2 linked regions of the Astyanax mexicanus genome follow. The protein of the gene in region 1 purifies or fractionates together with the protein of each later gene. This does not show direct contact. Links are inferred from orthologs where the notes say so. Each region holds a gene or a part of one and is shown on either strand. Other genes may lie near its edges.

Region 1 (7,711 bases):
ATGCTTCAGTGTTTAAGAGTCAGAACTGTGTTTTATCTGCAGTTTATTAAAGGAAAGATACCCGAGACTCCGCCCAGAATGACCACAGACTGAATAAGAACGATGATGGTGTTTCACTGCCTCAGTATTGATCTTCTCTAATCACTGCCACTAACATATACATGCCATATATGTATATAAATATACATTTTTGTGGTGTCAGTGTTTTTTTATAATAATTAATAAATATGATGATGTTTAAGGTACAACTGATTGAGTGGATTGTATGAAACTGACTCTGCATCAAAAAATCGAATGATAAAATAGAACTCAAATGGAATTTAAATTAAATTCAGTATTTTTTAAACCTTTATCTGAAACAAATTGTAAATGAGTTACTATGTGTACAAGTTGCATTTATAATTCAGATTTGTTTTTATAATTTTCTAAAACAAACTTTTATTATTATTATTCATTAAAATATGTGTTGTAATTTCATATCTGGGTTATTGTGTTGTTTTTGTTGGAATTAATGTGCAAAAAATGTGGACCTGTATGTATATATGGATCAATATTATGAATCAGTTCATTATCATAACTTACATAAGGAATCATGTAGAATCTTAAAAGTGTTAAGCAAACCAAAATATACTCTGTGAAGAATTTGGGTGCTCTTATCTGGGGAGCTGTTTGTAAACTTGCGGTTTCTGAGGCTCTGATGAACTTTTTCTGTACAAAAGAAGGAACTCTTGCTTATCTATCACTTCCTGGTGCGGTCATGATTAGTGCCAGTTTCATCATAGCAGTGAAGCTACTTTTAAAGTTCTTTTTTTTTTTTTTGGATTGACTGACCTTAATTGTTTTCAAGTAATTTGTTTATTTTACTTATTTGAGTAGTTCTAGCCTCCGCCCTCAGCTTAAATTTGAAAAATGCTAATAAATGGAAGGGGCACTGGGTGATGTATGGGTTTAGGGGCTGTGATTGGAGGGAAAGCCGATTGGCTGAGCTGCAGCAGCAGCAGCAGTGTGCCTCTGATAGCAGTGGGACGCAGATGGTTGGACGTCATCATCAGGGGAACGGTATATTTGATAGACTGATCTGCACAGTACACAGAGACATCATCCACACCTATAGCACAGTTAAACCTGAGAGGGCGCTGCAAAGGCAGAAATTACCACAATAAAACCTTTTTTTTTCAAGAGGACTGGTATGTATCATTACTTTAAAGGAACACATTTCAGACATCCCAAGTTGCAAAAACTAATATCAGGGAGATGCCCTCGGACTTGGACAACCCCCCCAGAGATCAGACCAATCAGAATCCTCTCTGTTTCGCATGCGCTTCATGAATATGCACATGAGGGAAGCACCTGTCTCTTCCTCTCCCTCTCTTTCACACATGCGATTGGGGAAAAACAATCTGTGCAGCCTGACTTGAGGGCACTGAGTTACTAACTGAGTTACTCCACTATAATGTAACTAGTTACCAGTAAAAGTAACTATTGCGTTACTTTTGTGTTACTCACGCAACTTCCAGGAGACTTGGAAGGTCTGACATTTCAGCAACTGATGAAAAAATAGGGTGTAGGGTTTAGTGGCTCTTTATTATAGATTAGAACATTACTTAAATACTTCACTGTATACCAACTCTACCCCCTTATGAAACAATAACATATGGCAATATATTGGAAAATATAGTGCAATATATTAAATAATACATTTTTATATATGGAAAAAAGTAAATATATTGTTTAATATAGGGCAATATATGCATGGACCATGTATGCCTTGTAGGGCTGGACCCGAATATTCGGGTATTCGGATATTCGTTCGTTGAGTAGGTATTCGGTTTTTAATTTTGGTATTCGGATATTCGTTTTTTTTCTCCTTTCCAGAGTTCCACCTCACTCTAACCACTTCTGTTCTCGCGGGTCCCGTCAGAATATCTTGCGCGCGGGACAGAACTGAACTGTTATTGGCTGGAGCGGGAGTTTAATCCAGACGATGCGGGAGCAAATTAATAAATAGTTAAGAAAACTGTAATAATTGTAAAAAAAAAAACCTAAAGAAAACTCTCAACGCACAGGATGGACCGACACACACACGCACACACCGATGGTGTTTGGACTGGGGTAAGGAACGGGACCACACTATTCAGCGCTGCTGTTTTAATAAATATATAAGTAAATTTGAAGCATTAAATGTAGTTTATTTAATTTATATTAGGAACGTGGGGCGGGAGCGGCAGAAATGTGTATGTGGCGGGCGGGCGCGGGATTAAAAGAAGCTATTTTTTTGCGGAGCGGTAACGAGACAGAAACGCGGGAGCGTGGAAGAGTGGGTTTAAAAATCAGTCTCGCGCAGACCTCTATTATACATGATAAAAAAAAATGCAGGCTCTTCGAAACTGATTTATATAATAAAACGTAAGGGGTAATGTGGCAACAGTAGGGGCTAAATCGGTTACAAAAGCCTGGCCTACAAAAATGATGTCTGAACGAATTTCCTCTTATCTAATATAATTTAAAATGGTTTAAAAATGTAAAATAATTTCTAAGCAAACGAAATATTTAATATTGAGCTTATAGCCCAAGTGCAAAAATACAAAATCAGTAATACGGCTATGCCCTCCTTAAACCGAAATAGACCAAGTACAATAACGTCATTAACAATGACTTTCCTCTACTCTAATATAATTTAACATGGTTTAAAAATATAAAATAATTTCTAAACAAACGAAATATTTAATATTGAGCTTATAGCCCTAGTGCAAAAATACAAAATCAGTAATACGGCTATGCCCTGCACAATGCTTAAACCGAAATAGACCAAGTACAATAACGTCATTAACAATGACTTTCCTCTACTCTAATATAATTTAACATGGTTTAAAAATATAAAATAATTTCTAAACAAACGAAATATTTAATATTGAGCTTATAGCCCAAGTGCAAAAATACAAAATCAGTAATATGCCCTGCACAATCCTTTAACCGAAATAGACCAAGTACAGTTTACAATGACTGTCCTCTAATATAATTAACAATGTTTAAGAATATAAAATACTTCCTGAACAAACGTTTTTTTTTGTTTGTTTTTTTAAGCAAATAGCCTAAGTGTGAAAACACAAACAGCAATTTACTGGGCTGGCTTGCGCAGCGGAGAAACCGTGCAGCAGCAGCCTCGATGTGGGGCAGCAGAAATTCCGGGATGAAAACACAAAGAAATCTGGGCTAAAAACACAGAAAAAATATGGGGTGAAAACACAAAAATCCAGGATAAAAACACCAAAAATCCGGGGTGAATATGTCTCGTCGGTCAGAGCAAATTGAACATTTTTCAGTGGATTAAAGGGGCCGTGATTTGCTTTTTTTTTTTTTTTTTTTACCTCTTTTTTAAAAAACAAATATTCGAATATTCGCTTAGAATCAGTGCCAAATATCCGGAGCTCAAAAAACGCTATTCGGGCCAGCCCTAATGCCTTGGTAAATATAAAAACATATACTGCACAGTTACAGACCCAAGGGAAAAAAAATTACATTTACATCATCTACAATAACTTTTTAAAGCGTTCATATTCATGTTTGCATAGTAAAAATGTGAATGTAACAAAGATTTACAAGGAATTATATTATTATTTTTTTTTGCCCAGATGCTACATACATTATACAGACCTAGCCCAAAGTCTTACATTTATCACAGACATTTGAAGGAAGCTGTGTATGAATGGAAAAAAAATACATTTAGGTAAAATAACTACTAGATGAATTTTACTTGTTTTTTATCACTCATTTTGTGTATAAGGGCATACAATTTCAGACAAAAATTTCAAGTAATTAACTTGACGAGTTCAGCACAGCTGTTAACTAAAGAATATAAAATATAAAACATATTACACACTTTTTTCGTTCAGTAAAAAAATCCATATGGTTTTTTTTTGTCAGAGTTTGGATGAGGTGATAATATAATGATAATGTGTGCAGACAAACCCTGAAGCTGCGGGAGTCTCCCGCATTTCGGTAGTGGCTCCCTGATGCCGCGAGTCACATATAATCTCCCGGAATTCAGAACGAGTGCCCCAAACGCGCACACAGGCGACAGACTTTTTTTCTCTAATCGCGTGTGGGAAGGAGATAGAGAAAACATAGAGGGTTCTGATTGGCCTGTTCTCTGCAAAGAGTCTGTGAGACAGCCAATCAGTTTTTAGTGTGGGCTGGCAGTGTTTTTCCCACCTCCCGGAAAAATGAATAATTATTGTAATATGATATGAAATGTTTTTGATGTTGTGCAATTTTTTTGATATTGTAACTGTCAATTTTTGTCCAAAAAAAAAAGGAAAGCAGAGGCAGGGCCTTCCAAAAAGAAAAAAAGATAAAACTAATTTCACCTCTGAATACTCAAAATTAATGTAAAATTAATTAACATAAAAGTAAAGTTTCGTTATCCTTTGGTGTGTGTGCAAGTTTTTTTTTTTTTTTTTTTTTTTTTTTTTTTGGCGGGGGGTGTAACCTCCCTAAAATCAACTTTTGCAACTTGGGACGTCTGATGTGTGTGGAATGAAGGAGGTGGTTATATTGCTATAGCTGGGTGGTGTGTGTAGGGGGCGCTGTGCTCTACAGAAGCGCTGCTCTCCAGCAGCTACAGCAGCAGCAGCAGAAGAAGAAGAAGAGCGGGGTGTGTTGTTGTGATGGGGGAACGAGCAGGACAGAGAACATTTAGAACCTTTAAAACCGGAGAACCTGAGAACTAAGAAGATGTTGGTGTTACAGAGTGAGACAGTGAGCTGCAGTGTGGGTGAGTTACAGAGCGGAGTGAACAGCCTGTATCACTCTCTCTAACACTCTAAGACTCCACAGCTCCTGTTTATACTGTTTACACTGTCAGATCAGAGCTGAAAATGTTGTATTTTCGAGCTTATTTACACAATTAAGCCCCACAGATAATGATGTTTAACTACCACTGCGTTGAGTAAAGCGCTGATACTCTTATTTAAACTGGTTCTTTAGTTGTTCCATAGCTATAATATGATACCTGATATGATATTCACTAAAGAACAGCTCAGTGCTTAAACTGAATTAGACTGTGATATTGTACTCATACTTTCACTTAAGGATAGTTTTAAGGTCCAGGGTTTCCGCCACGTTCATTTCAGTGCGGCGGTCCGCCACGCCTTCGTTCTTCCCCGCCACCCTTCGTGAAAATTCGGAGCCCGGCGTTTTTCCCGCGCTTGATCAGCGTTGCCCCGCCCTCTCTCGTTTCTGACACTGGAATTTGATCATCTCGACAGGACACCGGCTGTCAAACTGGACAACTGAATCCGAGGTATGTGGCGCTGAAATGATGTTTTTTTATATTTGTGAACAAGTTGTTGAACATTGTTCAAGGGTTATATCGGTAATATGTTGTAGACGTAGCCTACACAACACGGCTGGTTTCGCATGTTGCATCTATTTCGGGAGGCTACAGGTGAGGGCTTCTCTAGCCGTAATTCCTAAACGCACAGCTGTGTTCCAGTCCTGCACATGTAGCAGGGTGGCCGCGGGTCCTTAAAAAGTCTTAAATGGTATTAAATTTCATTTTTGTCAAATAAGGCCTTGAAAAGTCTTATTTTGTCTTAAAATTTCAACCAAAATGTCTTAAATTTGCCGGAGCTAAATTTAGGGGGGAATAATTCCGTCAGCCATGTGTTGAACTTCGGGGGTGGAAATCGGTAGTTAGTCATGCAGTGCCAACATAACGCGCGCGCGAGAGAGAGAGTGTGAGTATAGGACACAGCGAGAGAGAGAGACTGAAACATAACGCGAGAGAGAGAGAGAGAGCGAGAGCGCGCCTGTAAATAGCGAGAGAGAGAGACTGAAACATAATGCGAGAGAGAGAGAGAGAGAGAGAGAGAGAGAGAGACTGAAACATAATGCGCGCGCGAGAGAGAGAGATGAATTAAACAGTGATTAAACAGCTTCAACTTACGCAGGTGTCCACTCAGGCTCACTCACCTGGTGGAGTGAAAATCACGCTATGTTTCTGTTTCTGGAGCTGTCATAAAGCAAGGATGTAGGGCCCTAGAATAGAGGCACCCTAGAACAGCTCTGTGATGCATTTGTTTTCACGGTCCAGTAAACATTTTATTGTAATTAAATTAAAGATTAAAGATATTATTTGTCTGTTTTAATAAGCACAATTTTTAATTAAATTCAATAATATTTTTTATTTTATTTACTCATTCTCACATTTAAAATACCTAATACAGATAAGAGCGAATAAATAATACATATATATTAAATATATTAAATTGAATTTGGTTTTGTATAAAGTTTAATTGTGTATACTGTACAGTGAGAAAATTGTAATGTTTGTGTCTCGTATTGTGTCTTGTGCATTCACATTTGAAGTTTTCAAGCAGCTAGATTAAACGTAAACAATTAATAGTTTTTTTATTTTAACGTATATGATCTTGCGAGTTGGTCTTAATTTTCTTTGGAAAAGGGTATTAAAAAGTCATTTCATTGATGTAGCCTTCATGTATGTATTCATAATAGGTGAAAACAGACCTGAGAAACAGGCTACAGGGGGAGCACCTGGCTGCGTGCATGCGCATCAGTATTAATGGACCTTCAGTCCTTGAGTTCCCATACCAGAAGGCCTTTGAGCTGTTCTTTAAAAAATCCAGGAGGATTAAATGCTCTGAGCCAGCCTGCCAGATGTGCCACTGAATGTGGCTGGGTGATATACTGTATAGATAACATGTCTGTTGTGCCCTTTCTCCTCTGTTATGTATAATTTAACATTTTGTGTTGCACACTTTTACGTTTACCGTATCTGAAAAATGAGACAAAATGGAATTATTTTAAAGAAACCTACTTTTTGCAACTTTTTGTTTTAAGTGGGCATTTGTCAGTGACAGTTGGAAATAAAGAAAATAACTGGAAACATGTGTAATTGTGTTATATCGTGATATCATTAACGTGATATAAATTATCGGTTCCCAACCGGGGGGTCCTGCCACCGCACCTTCAAGGAAATCCTGGGGGAAACCCTGAGGTCCTTTAGTTGGGTTAAATTGAGATACAGCATCAGCATTGAGTTAGATTGTATTACATTTAGGGCTGCAGCTATCGATCCTTTTTGTAATCGAGTACTCTACTGAAAAATCGATTCGATTAATTGAGTAATCGGATAAAACCTTTTTTTTGTTAAAGAGCAATTAAAAAGGCATTTCACTTAATAATGAATGACCAATTGGTTTCCTTGTTTAGATAAGTTATATTTTTAAAATCACAACATACATTTCCAAATTGCAAATACAAATAAATAAACCACAATAAAGAAATCAATACCACAATTACAAAAATACATTTAATTACATTACTTTCAATTTTGGATTTCTTGTAAGTATCAAATATAGGGTATTAATCAATAAAAAAAGGCATAAACATCGTCTTTGTGTTGTGCATCTTAGCTTCTGAACAGCAGAGACGTTGTCAGTTCTGCCAGTGTTGGATCAGTGTGCTGCATTCTTTTACCACCAAGCCACTTCTCCAAAATATATCAGGACCTGTGGAATAATTGTGAAACAGAAGTATTACAAATGTGGGTTTTTTCTTTATTTATATGTTGGACTACTTGGGTCTAATTACATCACTAATACTAATAAGTCTAATAATAAAGTCATGGCCGTGCATTTATGAACGCATTGGGGCACATTAGGCACTAGTAGTAATTCATATTTTATCC
Region 2 (7,521 bases), on another chromosome or scaffold:
CTGACACAATCATGACACTATCATAGCAATAGACTTTGTTCCGACATGCAGTTTAAATCTTGCTTATTATTAATTAATTAATAAAACATCTTTCTTGATGCACATTCTTCAGGAACGGTTATGCCCTGAATGATGGAGGAAAAAAAATAATAAATTTCCATAATTTAGGGAATTACGGTTCATTATGTCAGAATATGCTTTAAGAATGTCAGTGGCTTAAGTTCTTTTATATATATTGTATCAGTCAAAAGCTTGGACACACCTCTTATTATTCAAACTGTTGTTTTTGGTCAATTTAATATTGAAGATACTAAAGCTACACATGCTGAGTTATTTTGAAAACAAAATAACAAACCAGAACATGTTTTTTTTTTTGCTTTACATTCTTCTAAGTACCACATTTGCACACTATTGGTATTTTCTCAGGTGCTTCATAAGGTAGAGTCACCTGGAATAGTTGCTGCTTTTCCTTCACACTGTGAAGCTCTAGATCATCCAAAATCACACATCTCAGGTTTAGGTCGACGAACACTTTTTTGTATATTATGTAATTCTATATGTCCCTCTAATAGGTTTTATATCTTTATTATTAATCTACAAATAAAAAACACAGGACTAACACCAAATTTTGCCAGAAATCAATGAATCAATAGTTATCAATCAATTTATGTCATGACATAAATAATACAATCTGTACATTAATGATTGGAGTAACATAACTAGTATTTGGTAGATACCATCTGATAAAATACTAAAAGTGGTCATTTTTTTGTATCAAGCAGCAAAAAAAATGTAACTTGACATTGCACAAAACAATGCAGGTCCTTTCAGAGTTATTAAACCTATTTCAGTCCCTAACACAATACAGATCCCTCCTTCAGATGAAATGTAATGCTGTGTACGGTCGGAGTTTCTTAACCAGCAGACCGAATGGAGGATCTTCAACTGAACTACTGGGTGGGGCTGTGGTGGGGATTGACAGGCAAGCGGTGGGGGCAGGTTGGTCCTATGCATGTTTTTTTTATTGTGACATCACAATAAGTAAACCACCCAAACAGCTCATAGAAGAATATGATTCATAATACCAAACTCTTTTAACTGATTAAAAAAAAAAGTATATTTTGGAGGGTTTACAGGGGATAGGTCTCGACAATAGGGGTTTATAGTCGATACCCACATGGAATTATAAAAGCATATTTGCATAATATGTCCCCTTTAATCATTTCTAAATAAAAGCAAAGTGTAGAATCACCATACATTTCATAAACGCTATCATGTGCTTGCTCTGTGTGATTCCAACCTTCTCAATTTTTTACACTGTCACCAACACATCATCTTTGGACAGCTTAAGACAAGTGGAAGATAATACCAAATGCCCGTTGTTACATCAGCTAACAAACATCTACGTTGGTAAATGAGATGAGGACTGACGCAAGTTAAGAAAGTATAGACTGTATATAAGAATGGAGTTTACATCACAACTGGTGGTTGTAAATGTAAATGCTGAAGGAGTAACGGGGCACCATTTTAAAAGTCAAATCTAATGCTTTTTAAGACATTTTTAAGACCATAATAAATATAATTTAAGACCCAAAAACGTAGTCATAATTTCTTTAGCTTTCTCCCCGGTAACGTTGGCTAGCTCTCCGCTAACATTAGTTGTATCCCTGGTAACACTAGCTAGCACATTTAAGCTAGCTAAAGTTAGTATGTTAGCTAGCTTACTGCTAACGTTAATTTGCTTGTTGCAAACATTAGCATGTTAGCTATCTCGCCGCTAATATTAGCTAGCTTTCCATTAACCTTACTTCTTTCCCTGGTAACGTTAGCTATTTCTCTTAAGCTAGCTAAAGTTAGTATGTTAGCTAGCTTGCCACTAATGTTAATATGTTAGCTAGCTTGCCGCTAAAGTTAGCGTGTTAGCTAACTCGCCACTAATGTTAGAATGTTAGCTAACTCATCACTAAAGTTCTCTGCTAACCTTAGATCTATTACAGGTAATTCTAGCTAGCTCGCTTAAGCTAGCTAAAGTTAGTATGTTAGCTAGCTGGCCGCTAAATTTAGTATGTTAGCTAACTCGCCACTAATGTTAGCTAGCTCTCCGCTAACCTTAGTTCTCTCCCTGGATTAGATGTTTACGATGGGCCACTGTGTTTTTCCACCGGCATTAAATGCACTATCCAAAAATGTAATACCTACAGCATATGTACAGTAAACTTAGGACAATTTAAATACCCAGATTTTTATTTAAGACTTTTTAAGACTTTTTAAGGACACGCAGAAACCCTGAGAAAGTGCTGTTGCACTTACCCCACCCTCATATCCTCTCAATGAGATGAAGTGCATTTCAGTCCCAAGCCAACTTCTCTAACCGTTAGGTCACAGCTGAAAGGTATTAAGATCTTTTGGCATAAATTGTGGTCTTAAAATCATATTTAAAAACAACAGATTTGCCCTGCAGTGTGAACAAAGCCTTCCAGCTTAAGGGCATCAAAATGTGTTGGGATGTGTATAAGTGCACTTACTGTATTTACTCACAGTGAGTTTCCATTCCATGAGTTTAACCAGTTCTGGGTGTGTCAGAAAAGGCTCTGTCCGATCTGAAATAATCGCTGGCAGCTCCTCCTGATACCTAAACAATAAACGTTATTACATTAGATGTTCGGGAGCTTCTGTTCTTGTATGCTGTGTGTGTGTTTTGTGGCATACTGGCAAACCTAGTACAGTCAAGCACTGATGTGTGTAAATGAGAGACTATATCAGACTGTGAAGCTGTGTCTATAGCTTTTCATTCATGGCACCTGTCTGTCGTACCATTTGTCTAAAGCCAACAGCTTCCCCGAACGTTTCCCTTTTCCAGCAGACTTTGCTTCCACCACAGTCCAGTATTTGCCGTAAATACGCGTCCACACTGCCGGATCTTCACAGGTGTACAGCTGCTCAGCCCCAGACATGCTAACAGACATATAGAGAAATACAGAGAGAAAGAGTTTATTTAGCTTAAATATCTGATTTAGGTAAAATTACAAGCCTAAAAATGAAATGTATGTTATTTTAATCATTAGCTCAATTTTTATGCTGGTCTGACCAAATACGTAGAAAAGTACTCTAATTCCACACTCTAGACAATGCAATAAAGTAATCTCCTAAGTCAAAATAAAATCAAATACTAAATTTCAGCTTGTGTTCAGCTACAATTGAATTGAGGAAATAATATTAAAAGTCAAAAAGACAGCCCTGTAATTACTTTCTGTCTAAACTGTTCCAATTCATACTTTTTTCTTCCCAAAAATCCAATAAGAAAGCAGACTTGTATCAGTTATGTCATACAAGTGACCATCTGCTGTACAAGAGAGGAGGAGGGTACAGTACAGGATGGAAGGTTAATCAAATCAAACTGATCAACTGAATTAATCAGTTCTCAGTAGATAGACATTTGCTTATGTCTGAAACCTATAAAGAACTATTTTCCTAAAATAAAAACTGAAATACAAGGAGGTTATGTAAGGTTAAAGGGGGCTGCTTACTATTCTGGAAAAATAAATAAATAAAAGGCAATGACATGTAAAGGAAACAACAACTTGTACATCACTTTAAATGGTACAGCCTGTTTACATATAAAAAGTTAAGTAAGAACTAAAAAAAAATCAATATTTTACAATTGTTTTACAATATCACTCAGCCCTACTTTAATCAAAACTTTATTTTGCCCATTAATATGTTACTGGTGTTTGCTTCTACATTAAAAAACGTCAGTACAGTGTTTTGTGTAGAGACCCCAAAGTATCAAGGTACAAAAAATATATTTAGAGACTTAAAATCTTCCCTCAGTGTATAAAAATGTATTCAATACATTTCGTTTTAAAATAATTAAAGAGAACACATGAAATAATTTTCTTAAATAAAGAAATATATATATATATATCAGCTTAATTTGAATTTAGAGTGCAGAAGTGCAGAAGGGCGTTAAAACAGAAATGAAACGCGCCCCGCCTGTTTTACTAGTCCGTGTAGCTTATTTAACCTGCAGTAATAAAAGTCACCTTCAATTTTGTCTTAATACATTGCAACAAGTGTGAATTACAGCCACAGTAAAGCCCTGCAGCTCTACTTTCTGATCTATTCCACTGTTTTATTTCAGTAGAGGACATAGTTAAAAACGATATTTAATTATTAAAACAATAAAGATTAATAACTCCACAGTACTATATACAGCAAAGTAAACTACATTCAATTTCTATTAAAACTACATTTACTCAGAATGGGCTTTTAGTCGGTAATACATACCTTAGACTCCCTATATTCACCTAGATAATAAGAAATACTAACAGTATGGGATTATTAGATGTATTAAATTGCTGATAGTATTTCCTCTCGTGTAAAAAGCAGAGAACCCCGAGAAATCCACTTTTAAATTCTGTAACTAAAAACACACACGCGCGTGCTGCACCAAAGCGGAAGTGAATGCTCCACATCCGGTTCCTCTTTCTCCTGCAGGTTTGTTTTGAAAGGTCAGTTATGGGATTTTTTTTAACTCATTTTTATTATCGTTATTATTATTATCGCTGTATAAAACAGAATCAACACCAGCCGAGAAGAGCAGACACACACAGAGATACAGAGCCGGAGCGGCAGGTTGAGTTACTGCAGCGGCGGAGGAGCAGCAGAGAGAGGTTCAGGGATCTGTTTTTACTTCTTCTAAAACTGATTATTATTAATTTCTCCAGTTTCCTGCAGCAGATTAGAGCAGCTCTGCACTCACTTTGTTCCACAGCACTGTGAGGGAATGTGTTCAGTCTGAGAGCTCTTATCGGAAATCTCCTGTTTACTAAAAAAGAGCACATGGACCAACAGACCCGTGTTTACAAATAGCAGAAATTCAAAGACCACGATTCACTTAACTTACACTTACCTTACACTTACCTAACGATTTATTAAACGCAGTTAATTATTTATTAACGCCGAAAAAATATTAATTAACGTTACATAATTCTCTTTTTATAAGTTTTTTTTTATTGTTTATGATATTTTATTACATCATTGGAACGGTTTATTACATTGAGGGAATGATTCATTACATCCCTGTTAAAAAAATCCAGCTAGTAATCCAGAGAAAACATACTCTGTGCTGGTTAGGAGTTAACTAAAGAGTAACTAAACCCCCTGGTATTAGCTGAATCCCCCCACAGCTCAGACTTGAAAAATGCTAAATAAATAAATAAATGAGAGGGGTAGTTTGGGAGTAACACTGGGTGATGTGTAGGTTTAGGGGTGGGGCAGGAGGGACAGGAAGGAAATTCTAAGCAGGGATGGTATGTTTCATTACTTTAAAGGAACACATTTAATCTGTTAATGAAAAACATATTTATCAAATCTGTGTATTATTTTATTAAATCTAAGAAATTATTTATTAGATGCAGTAATTGTTTTTTTTATTTAGAGAATGATTGGTTACATTTTGGGAATATTTTGTTTAATTGATGGAGTGTTTTTTTTTTTATTAGAGGCACTATTTTATTAAACTGAAAATAATAAAGTTATTTAATTCTGGCCATGTTTTATTACACAAGGGAACATTTTAGGCCTCTAAATATTATTTTTGTACCTTAAAACTTTAGGGGCACTATAGACAAGATTGCAACTATTAAACTATTCTCTAATAGTGAAAAACTAAAAAAAAAAGTACCTAAAAACAAATTTTTACTGCATAAAAACACAGATAAACTGCATTGCATTACATTGTAAAAATGCATGAATGTATTTCAGAATATGTTGTTTATATACCAAATATAGGTGGAAATATTAAACACAAATATGTAATGTATCTTAATGGTGACAAATTCTTACTATATTATAAGCAAATACACATTTAATGTGGTTTAGTGGGTACATATAGATGCAACTATATGCTATAAGCATGCAACATGTTTTTTAAAATATTTTACAGGTTTTTTGTTTTGACAATTTCTTTTTAATGCAACTGGGAATAGTGGAAATGTTCATACGGTACTCTGCTCTTTGCCTTTGACAAACTTGGACTACTCTTTTGGTAACAAAACAGTGGAAACAAACATAAGTCATTCATGTTGTTTTCAAACAAACTAAAAACTTTTAAGGACTTGAGGATGGCATCAAATCACTTTTAATCAGTTTTTTACATGCTAAATTTGCTTTGTTCAAAAAAATTACCAAAGGAACATTTAGGAGTGGATAAAATATAACTAAACTAAACTAAGTTCCCTGTGAAAGGTAACAAAGGCATCCTGGAAGCAACTCTCCAACCAATATAGCAATTATTTTAAACAGGACAAAAGTGATATGTCAAAATGACTTATAGTTTGATTCACAGCGACCTATCTTCCCTTTGAGAGGGCAAGTGGACCCAAGCCATTCTAGCAAGATGCCCCTACTGCAAAATAGAGCCACCTGACCCTCTCACAGTATAGGGGTAAAGCCTCCTGACCTGCATTGTTTTCTTAATGTATTCCATTATGGATGCACCAATTATTTATCAACTGACATTAATTAGCTGAAAATGCCAAAGACTAGCAAGTTAAAATACATTTATGCTATTTTATTTATTTATTGGTGAATAAACTGCCTCTCTGTGCTCTCTGCTGCTCAACAATGAACCCCCTTTTCAAACTTGCTGTAGTTTATGGAATAATCTACACTTATTTTCTAAGGGTTTTCCTTTAATTTGTCACCCACTACAACACGTTAATAGAGATTATGTAACCGACACAAGAATAAATTATCATGGTCCCGCACTGACCATGGTTGGTTGCTGAAATTTCATTACAGGCGAATACTAAAAAATCAAAGCAGCTAAACTATTCTCCATTTGTATGTCTCTCACCCTCTACACTAACAGCAAAAATGGCAATACTCGCTATAATATTTGAATAGAAGTGACAAAAATAGTAGTGATAAAAAAAAAAAAATACATATACATTTCTGTCTCTCTCTTTGCCTTTAACAGATCACTGTTTTGCATGGGGCACGTGCAGGGGACTGAGGTGCCCGTGCCTTGTGTTGACATGAGGAGACATGGTGAACCGGATAAACTTCCAGTGATGAACTATACAGTAACTACAGGTCACTAGTGCTGTGTTCATTAAAGCAGAGGTGGGTAACAAAGGCTTATAAAATATCAGATGTTTAAATGTTCAGTTAAAATTCTCAGTAGAAAAAGCTTGTGAATAAATCTATAAATTAAACTAAATGCAAGGGAAAAAAATACAAATTGTTCTTGGTTAAATACTTAATAGGCTAAATAGTGTTGTCATCATTTTTCCATGTGGACCTAATAAACACATAACATACAGTTATAGAGCATAGCACAAGCTGCATATCACCATATTTTATAAACTGTTTTAATGTTTTCACTGCTAGACTGAAATTGTTTCATTCATAAAAGTCATAGCAGTGTGGAAATCCTAAAGTGTTACATCAGGAAACGTCTTGAGAAGGCCCACACCTGTATAAGTTGTGAGGTGTTATCTCGTGAGGTTAAATACT

Evidence for each region.
Region 2: the proteins of depdc5 (region 1) and wdr24 purify together in Homo sapiens (affinity purification with western blotting; 4 studies listed by BioGRID and IntAct, with this or other methods). This does not show direct contact. The link is inferred for Astyanax mexicanus from reciprocal best matches to the Homo sapiens genes DEPDC5 and WDR24.

Annotation. Positions count from the first base shown.
Region 1 is NC_064427.1:19,699,987-19,707,697, reverse strand, and holds the start of depdc5 (GATOR complex protein DEPDC5), read left to right. Parts: upstream 1-4,612; 5' UTR 4,613-4,774; intron 4,775-7,220; exon of another isoform or gene 7,221-7,532; intron 7,533-7,711. UniProt on the Homo sapiens protein: As a component of the GATOR1 complex functions as an inhibitor of the amino acid-sensing branch of the mTORC1 pathway.
Region 2 is NC_064413.1:14,967,845-14,975,365, forward strand, and holds the start of wdr24 (GATOR complex protein WDR24), read left to right. Parts: upstream 1-4,473; 5' UTR 4,474-4,511; intron 4,512-4,524; exon of another isoform or gene 4,525-4,673; intron 4,674-6,982; 5' UTR 6,983-7,128; intron 7,129-7,521. Other genes in the region: uncharacterized protein zgc:112496, read right to left, coding at 2,539-2,632, 2,815-2,954. UniProt on the Homo sapiens protein: Catalytic component of the GATOR2 complex, a multiprotein complex that acts as an activator of the amino acid-sensing branch of the mTORC1 signaling pathway. The GATOR2 complex indirectly activates mTORC1 through the inhibition of the GATOR1 subcomplex.